Oreochromis niloticus: one gene and its partner. The protein of the gene in region 1 interacts with the protein of each later gene in a biochemical or structural test. Links are inferred from orthologs where the notes say so. Each region holds a gene or a part of one and is shown on either strand. Other genes may lie near its edges.

Evidence for each region. The genes of interacting proteins can lie anywhere in the genome.
Region 2: the proteins of dlg3 (region 1) and gda form a complex in vitro, tested with the Homo sapiens proteins (2 studies listed by BioGRID and IntAct, with this or other methods). The link is inferred for Oreochromis niloticus from reciprocal best matches to the Homo sapiens genes DLG3 and GDA.

Annotation. Positions count from the first base shown.
Region 1 is NC_031966.2:19,910,995-19,915,909, reverse strand, and holds the start of dlg3 (disks large homolog 3), read right to left. Parts: upstream 2,726-4,915; 5' UTR 2,309-2,725; coding exon 2,290-2,308; intron 2,109-2,289; exon of another isoform or gene 2,094-2,108; coding exon of another isoform or gene 2,079-2,093; intron 1,453-2,078; coding exon of another isoform or gene 1,449-1,452; coding exon 1,317-1,448; intron 1-1,316. UniProt on the Homo sapiens protein: Required for learning most likely through its role in synaptic plasticity following NMDA receptor signaling.
Region 2 is NC_031977.2:13,938,273-13,943,187, forward strand, and holds the start of gda (guanine deaminase), read right to left. Parts: upstream 3,214-4,915; 5' UTR 3,140-3,213; coding exon 3,011-3,139; intron 2,479-3,010; coding exon 2,390-2,478; intron 2,214-2,389; coding exon 2,042-2,213; intron 1,835-2,041; coding exon 1,747-1,834; intron 1-1,746. UniProt on the Homo sapiens protein: Catalyzes the hydrolytic deamination of guanine, producing xanthine and ammonia.

The DNA of each region.
Region 1 (4,915 bases):
AATTGAGCCTCTGAAAATGAGGGACTGCATTTTTTTTTTTTCTAAATTCTCTACTTCCTAAACCATTCATGCAAACTCAGTCACATTTTTATTGTTTTATCCACCGTGGTGGTGTACAAAAACTAACTGTATTTGCTCCAGCCTATATTTTTAGAAACCTTTCAAATGAGACTTAACAACTCATTTGGTCTTAAAATGTGGACTCTGGGTGATGAGGTACAACAAATTAGTCTCTATAATGAGCCCCTTACCTTTGACAAGACGCAAAAAGAGCAATACATTTTATCTTTATGTTTAAAGGGTTCATCAGTCAGCACAAGAAAGTATACCTTAAACTCCCTTCAGTATACATCATTAGCAAAATGAGCCACACCGTATCATTTTTAACTGCTGCCTGAGTCATAGCCGCCCTTCCCCCCTTAGATCCCCAGCAAAGAAGCAGCAGTGGGTCAGCAGAAGCAATAGCAGACCCAGGGGCAAGCATCATTATAACATGGCTGTGGTAATTAGAAGGACCACTCAACCATTTGCTAAACTGAAGTAATGTGCCTTATCTGCTCTAAAAGGAAGTGAGGATAAGGTTCACACAGGCTCATTTCCAAAAACACAAAACACGCCACACTCAGGTTGTCATGAAGGTGTAGCTGGTTACAACTAAAATTTACTCATGATTCACTATTAGTAAACACTTTAGCCAGAAGCAGTTACATTTGCTTCTGGCTGAAGTGAATAAAGTGAATAGTTTTCTGACCAATGATCTATACCCTGCTGATACAGTTTTATGAGACATAAATGTGCCTATTTTTGTAAAACTTAAAGGAGGAATTGTGTTTCAACAGTGTGACAGGTCAGAGTTTATAACAGCACAGTCTATAGATAGACTGAGTTGAGTGTTGCTTTAATGGGATTTTATTACAATCCGAGTATGCTACAGAGGTGGTTATACAGCAAGCCTTTGTGAGGCAAACTGAAAGGCCTCTTTCATAAGACTTAATTGGGAAACATTTAGACTCAGTTAACTTCCCATACAAATTAATACAACCTGACCCCGTCTGCATCCTGTGTCAGCCTTCAGCCAATCACACGGCCACGCAAATCAAACTATACGAGCTGCACTGAATCTAATACTGATAGTGTGCGGCAACAGTGCGCAGTAAATTAAAAGAGATCACGAAAAAAAAAATACCTCCCATACTTAAGAAGACAGGCACGTGAAGAGGAAGCGTTGTTTGGAAAGGACATCCTAAGAACGGTCTGATGCAACATAAGATAGAGGGAAAAGTTTCGAAAGACTCTCTTCTTCAAAACAAGCTTACCGAGAAGGGCTTGAAACAGCTGGCTGCCCAAGATGGAAGACACTTTGCCCACGCTGGTCTTCAAGGCCTGTTCCTCTGGACTGGTCAGGTTGGCCTGGTACTGCTTGAGCAGCCTCACCGCCCTAGCTGTGTCTGCCTCACAAAATAAATACATGTCTCAGAACAACAGCAGCAGCAAAGCTACACACAGACAGGGGAAATGAAATGACAGTTTTATGAATCTGTATCCCATTTGAGAGGCTAGAAAACGACATTTCTGGAGTTGCAATTTTCAAAAATATCAGGAATTAATCAGTTCATACAAAAATTCCAGACTACTCTCAGTCACTCAACTTACCTCTTTATTTTAGCTCTAATTAAACTATTACTAAATGTAAATACATGTAGCCAGCAATACTGCTACTACTGCTTTTCTTTGCACAGAGACACACTGTTATAAGAATTTAAATAAATAATAAAAGACGGAAGATTTCTCCATCTTTTTAACTAAACGCATCACTGCTGCTGCCTGTTATATTCTCCTGCAGAGCACTTTAAAGGCATTTCTCTCTTTCCCATCAGGACTGTGCAGCTGGTTGTTGAACCCGGTGGGTGGTGAGGAGCACAGAATGCAGAGTTGATGCACATCACGAAGGTAAATCTACTACTTCACAGTTTCCTACCTAATCCTGAACATTATGATCGAGTAGGAGAAAAACATCTCAGAAAACAACAACAACAACAATAACAACAACAGTACGGAAGCTGGCAATTTCCACTTACTCTTAACTTTCTCATTCCCTGAGGGCTAAAACAGTCTGGTTTCTAGAGGGGATTACAGCTGAGGTTAGTGGGGCGGTGAAAAGCCGTGCAATGACTTTGATGGCGTAATGAGCTGGCATTAACCTAAAAACTTTAACTTTACCCGAGTATATAAGAAAAAAATGTGACACGTGGGAAAAAAAAGATATAACGTTACATGAACGGTACTCACCATATTTATGCACCATCATGTGGCCGACTTGAAAAGTCACATAAGTTATAATTTCGGGGTGTTTTGAGGGTTTAGGAAGCAAGAATAATAACTGCGATAGTCTCGGATAATTTTACAACCGGGACTGTCGCTCCTTCCTCACAACAGATTTTTTTTTTTAAATCCAGTCGCCGACACTCCCAGTCTGTCTGAAGTGTCGCTGCAGCGGTCCGCAGTGTGGTCCACACCCACAGACTGAGGTTAAGATGTGAAAAAGCAAAGACTGTTTACTTCATGTCAACTTTTCCAGAAGTTTTCTTTTTTCGGGGGGGCAAAACGGCTCCGGAGCGTGACATGTTCACGTCCCTCCTCCCCTCTCTCACACACGCCTCGCCTCCGTGGAGAAGGCCCACCGGTCCGGCCATAGCGGGCCCATTTGCACTGTCAGTATTAACGCTTTAAACACTGACACCTGCAGATAGCTTCAGTACATGACATCACTAGTAATGATCAGTGTGCTACTTAAGCCGTTTATGTCCCTCGTTGCATGTTTATCTGGTAAGTCGCCTGTTTCTCGATTTTTTTTGTAGTTGGTGACATCTTGTGGTGGGATAAGGTGGTGCTGGGAGTCCTTCATAAAAGGAAAAGTACACTATGCAGACGTGTTTTGGGCATGTGCAGAGAAGAGATAGTCAGGGTGCGGAAAATAGAGCTACCGGGCAGGTGGAAAAGAGGATAACTTCAGAGAAGGTTCATTGTTGTAGTAAAGTACATGATAAGATAAGATAAGAAGAGCTTTATTTATCCCGAGGGAAATTCTTTTGTTATACACATGCTCAATGCAGCAAGAGAGACATAGGAACAGAGTAATAAGATATACAATATGTACAATAGAATACAAGTATACAGTAATATACAGTATGATAGTGCAAAATATAATATCGAATAACTGTAGCAAGTAACAATATAATTATATCCTGAAAAATAAATAGCTTAGCTATCAGTGCAGGTGATTCTAAAAGTGACATAGTATTGTGCAAATGGATAAAAGAGTAGCAGCATATGATGGGGAGATGAAACAAACATTCAATGAAACCTGTTGGGTGATATTGCACAATCTGAATGGGAACAGAATAGCTTTGTTTTTAATCCTCAGGAAATCGCCTACAGAGTGAGGAAGAATTGTACAGTTTTATTGCCACTGGCACAAAGGATTTTCTGTGGCGGCAAAGAACACAACACTCTTTACCACAGAGTGATAGAACATTATCAACATTAAAGGACCTGAGCCGCCTCAGTAGGAAAAGCCGACTCTGCCCTTTTTTAAAGACAGCATTGGTGTTCTTGGTCCAGTCCAGTTCACAGTCCAAGTGTACCCCCAGGTACCGGTAGTCCTCCACGATCTCTACATCGTGACGGGGAGGCGTGAGACTGGGGATAGAGTGAGATTGAGGAAGGTGGTCAGCTAAAGCCACAAGAAGAAGACACTAAACATTTACAACTACAATTTACAATCGGACTTTATTGCTTTAGAAGTGTTATCATACACACATTCATTCAGTGATTTTTTTGTATGCATAAGCATTCACTAACATTCACACACACACACTTTGATGAATGCATCAAAGACAATGCCGGGTTCAGCATCTTGGCTAAGGACTCTTCAACATGTGGATGTGAAGAGGTCGGGGATCAATCCAGCGACACTCCAATTAGTAGATGACCCACTCACCTGCCAGACTGCGTTGTATACTGATCAATCACAAAACACTCTCTTCATTATATTTTTAAAAAAATGGTTGTGTGCTTCAGTTGTAGTTTTTATCCATGTCTAGTGTTAACATAGATTAAACTTTTCAACTGTACAAAATATAATCTATTGATCAGATTCAGTCACGTTAGAAAGAAAGTATCCATCTGTCAGTTCTAAGGTTTTACATGTCAGGACATAATAGAAATGATCCAGTTTTTAAATTAGGTGGACAGACCCTAAGACTGTTGCTACACTGTGTCATTATTTAATGAAAAAAACTAAGCCAAAATACAGAAGCATTATATCTGACTTTATCAGTCTCTTGCAGCATGGTGGGAAACGTTAGAGTTCGGTTTGTGGGAAACGGTTTGTTTTTTGGTTTATCGGCAGCTCTCTTAAGCTCCTGTCGCAGCATTTCAGTCAGGTTTAGGTCTGAACTTTAACCGGGCCACTGAAACACTTTTCTTTTTCAGATATTCTGTTGTAGATTTGCTGCTATGCTTGTGATCGCTACCCTGTTGCGTGACCCAGTTTTGGCCAAGCTTTAGCTGTCAGACACATTTAACTACAAAATATTTGATGTACCACCGTGCTTGACAGATGGTATAAGGTGATGTATGCTGGTTTTCATCAAACATGGACCTGTGTGCATTGTGGCCAATCATCTTCACTTTGGCCCGCAGTCTTTTTTTTTTTTTTTTTTTAGATGCAGCTTTACAAACCTAAGCCCTGCTAACATGTTCTTTGTACATAAACAAGTCTTTCCTGTGCCAGCCCTTGCAAACAAGCCATACTTGTTCATTATTTTCCAATTGGACTGTCACGAACTTTAACATTTAACATGCTAACTGAGGCCTGTAGAGTCTGAGATAGCGCTGGTATGAAGCACCTCCC
Region 2 (4,915 bases), on another chromosome or scaffold:
TTTGAGGACAAAGGTCAGTCATTGTCACTTCATGTTAAATGAAGAGTATTTGTGCAGTTGTGATGCTCACATATAATAAACAGCCTCTGTAATGTCATCTGTATGTGCGTCCCTTTGACCTTGACATTTCATTACAGGCTCTACACATGTCAGAGTAAAATCTTGTTGTAACTCCTTATGCCAGTCATCTGATATAAATGCACGCAGAGTCATTTGCTAAGTATAGATATTGTGTAATGTGGAAGTTGACGCATTTTAGTGCTAAACAGGTTCAGCAGCACCGCTTGCAATAGTATGGCTTTTTGTTTTGATAGGATTAACCATGGCTCAGGTCAGTCGTTCAGCTAGCACGACACCAGAGGCCTGATACGGAGGCAGCTAAGTGAAATAATTAGGTACACAGGTGTGTTTCCTCTTGTGATATGCTTTGAAAAAGTCCAGGTGGAATACTCCTGCTACCAGGCTGAGTTTATACCAGAGATGTACTGTTTGCAACCATAAAAAAAGCTTTGTCAAACAGATTATTGTGCTGTAAAATCCTCAGGTGATCAGGTTACACAAGTTAGGATGTAAGACAGTTGAAAAACTGCACTTTCTTTTCCATCCCATCGTTAGACAGCTGCATTATTTTTCATCTATTGACATGCCCACACATGTGATTTAAGCTTTCTAGGTGTCTCTAGTCTGTGCTTGTTTATTATCTCTGCATATAAGATGGACAGATTTCTCTCTGTAAAGTCAAGCGAATGACTTCTATGGGATAATGACTCTACTGCTCACTTGATATATGACCTCAGTAAACATTTTCCCAGTTTGTTTATGGTCTCGATCACAAGTTTCAAGCCCATACAAAAGAACATGATGTCCTTTTAATAAATGGCCCTCCCATTTACAGAGAACAATATTACACATCATGGCATGCTTTAGGGTGTAGCTCGATAGGCTAGTCACTACAAATCTCAGATCTACACCTCTGTTGTCAGGTGTGGTTTCACAACTCTGAGATTATGTTGTCCAGCTATGATAAAACATTTTGTGTCTGATCTGTCAGAAAACTCTATTGCTGTATTCCAGCTTGAACTTCAACTGAACAAATTGGTTTGTTGCAAGTATTTTCTTAAGCTTTATTCATGTTAAATATACGGTTTGGAAATACTCCAACGTGCCTATACACAAGCACATGACTCTGTTCAACAGTTCTCTAGGAACAGCTACTCAGAGCAGGACAAAGTTAAGAGTTCAATGCCCCTGATTGCACAAAATGACTCTGTTATGTTGCCAATAACAGGGTTTGATGCGTTAGAGTTACATCATTATAAATTCATGTGCGTGTTTGTTCAGTGTTACATAATATGACAGGAACAAGATAAAGCTAGGGTATAAAGGTGAAGGACCATTTCTTTGCAGTGTTTATGAAACATATCGTTAGAGTGAAGAAAGGCAAGAAAAAAAATTAAATAACTGAGTCTAAGTCAAAGCATCATAACATACTGCACATGACAATGATTGTATAGAAGTGAGGCAAACTAGCATTCTGATAATATTTAGTCACTTTTATTAAAGTCCAGCTTCCTTATCTTGTCATCTTAAACTATGGGAAATTTAAAAATATTATCGTAGCTTATTACACATAAAAAACAAATGTGATATATTTTTAAATAATTAAGAGGCCTACTGTAATGCTTCAATATAAACATTCAGCTTAAAGTGTGTGTTTGTGCATGTGTTTTAGTATAAGACATTTACTTGCAATCTGGCCCAGCAACAGAGAGGCTTCAGTGTGAATTGTAGCAAAGTAGCAAGCAGTTGTTGTTCCATTTCTCAGAGTTCTTCTCTGTAAAGCACAGGGATCATATCACAGGATTAAGACCAAATCAACACTTCTGAGACCCTTAACTCACAGGCTGAGTCACAATCCGATTTCTTTATTCACTTGTTGAATGTCTTTCATCAACAACTTTTAACTGATGCAAATGTTCAAAGTTTGACATCAAGAGATAAGTGTCCAAACTCACTTATCTCTTGATGCTGGCAATCTCACCACTATTTGGGTGTAGACCTTGCGGGCGAACTCCAAGTCCTTGAAGCGTGACTCCACAGGAAAGGTGTAAGCATTAAGCCACTGCAGTAACGGCATGTCCAATGCTGTGCCAGCGTAGCTGTACTGTGATGCATGGATGTGGGTATCTACAAGTCCTGGCATGAAGAACTCACTCGAATGAAGCAAGCCAAAAAAAAATTGCTTTATGACCTATGAGATAAATCAATTTCTTCCAATACAAAGATGAGCATCCATCCATCCCTTTTCTTTATATCTATATGTGTGAAATTATAACACAAACAATCTCTGACTTACTGAAATCACATCAAGATTATATAATAAGCTTACTGTTGTGCCAGCTGAGTGATGTCAGATGTCTTGAATCCAAAGGTCTGGGACAGTTTTTCTAACTCCTTGCCTTCCTCGATAAAAGCAATCTGACCGCAGAATGGAAATCAGACGGGGGTTAAAAGCATACGTGCAGAAAGGTGCTTGTAATTAAGCAAGCTGAGAGAGCTGAGAGCTTAGGGGAGGCTTTGGTAGAAAATAGACAGCTGTATATTTATAATACGTTTAGCTTAAAATGTATTTTCATCTACAGTTTACAAACATATTCCTTTGTTCACAACAACCGAGACGAGAATCTATTATTTTCTGTGGATAAAAAACATTCATATTAAAAGTTATATATCTTTTTTTTTAATTACACACGTTGTAATCAGGCAGGTGTACTGTAGGCGTCTATTTATAATGCTATTAAGTGTTCTGTATCAGGGGGTTTACTGTTGACCATACTGCCAAAGTTGCTCAGCAACAGCTAATTATATGACAAAATTAAAATAGCCTAGCATATTATACCAGATTTACGCCCTGAAGCCTGCGTGATTTACCCTTTTGTCAGTTAAAAATCATCATCAAGATATTTATCAAATGTAAAACGCAATCAATGTATTCTGGAATTCCACAAACCTTTCCCTGTGTATCCACTCCCAGGAGCGCATCTTTCAGGATCTGTAGCGCCTTTTGTTGAGTCGAGTGGACAAACGTGCCCCTGTAGACGAAGGCTATTGCAGTGTCGGCTCGGTCGGAGTTTGCCATTTCTTCTCCAGGTAAGTCGCGGTGGAGCAGTGAGATACAGCGGGATCGAGTCGGGTATTTGTCCTCTGCCAGTGCCAAACACCACCTGACGGCAGAGATCCTGAGCAGCCAATGAGAGGACAGGGTGTGCATGTCGGGATCGTCCCGTCTAGACGTTATAACACTTGTAACGTGTGATCTGATAAGCTTAAGGAGAAATTTGCTGTTTTGCCTTTGTTTTCCTGGCTTAGTATGAGGTGCGTAATGCAAATTATCAAAGTTATCCATGAGTCACTGCTTTCTGCTGAATAGTAAACTTTATGGTGGTCAAGGTTTCTAACACAAACATGACCACTCAGAAATCAGCACAAAAGACAGAAACAGCTTGAACTTTCCATCGTTTCTCTTCCGCAAATTTAGACATAAGCATAAAAAATGCTTCAGTGTAAGTTCATTTTAGAGAAAGTAAACAATTTTTTGGTCATGTAAAATAAACAAATGAAACCAAAGCTTTATTTCTTTATTATAATATTTAAGTTAATTAAACCGAGTCAGCTTTTGGGAATAAGCAATCAGAGGTGAAAAAGTCTTTAAAATTAGTCTTCCATTTGAAAAAATACAGCCTATAATTTCCGTCAAATACAAAAGTTATATTAATTAGATACATTTCATGACCCATGACCCGAGAAACAGAACTATCAATGGTAAATGGATTGAGTCTTATATAGCGCTTTTCTACTCTCCTGGAGTACTCAAAGCGCTCTATGCAACATGTCGCATTCACCCAATCACTTTCTTCTAAGCTTTTAATGCTTCCCAACATTCACACTCCGATGGATGCATCGGAGAGCAACTTGGGGTTAGTATCTTGCCCAAGGATACTTGGCATGCAGACAGGAGGAGCCAAGGATCGAACCACTAACCTTCATCAGTAGATGACCTGCTCTACCTGAGCTACAGTCACCTCAATCAGTCCACAGCTCTGGTCAGACATTTACAGCCATTCATCATTACTGTTCCTTTTCCAGGTTGGAATGATCTAAAACATACATTTTTTTTTAAAGAAGAACTCCTGTCACAAACTTGGATTTATTATAGATTTTCAAAAGTACACATACAGGCTCAATTATACACATAATTTTGGTTGAAGACTTGATTACTCATCTTGACGGAGTACATTTAAATTGGTTGGTTTCCTGGCACAGACTCAGCTTTTAGGCATAGTCCATAAATTTTCAATAGAGTTGAGTTCGGGACTTTGGAAAGGCCATCCCAGAAGTTTAATGTTTTATCCTGCTTTATCCATTTTCAAAACCAACCTTGATGTGTGCTATAATAATATTATTATTATTATTAATATTTTGCTAAACTATAGGTTTATATTTATAATTTGCAAGAGAACAGTAGAAAAATAATAGATGTTACATCTTCAAAAGCACACATTCAATTTCTCTTCCTTTATTAATACAGCCACTTCTTTGTGAAGTTTCTGTGCGGCAACCTTGAATTGGTATTGCAAGTTTGCACTGCATTAAACTTAAATGAAAACCAGCGGGTCTCATGATAATGCTGTTACCTCATTCAAAGTTATTAATATAGTTGTGGAAGCCCTTTAGTTGGAAAAAATAATGTGTCAGCATCAAATTAGGCTTTTTTTTAAATTCTCAGTCATGAGTATATAAGCAGAACAAAGGCATGTGATGCAAATTTTCGAGGGAACCCTTGGAGCTCAGTGATGTGGTCACCCACTCTTGTCCTTTATTACAATGACTCATTTTTAATGAGGAATTAGTATTT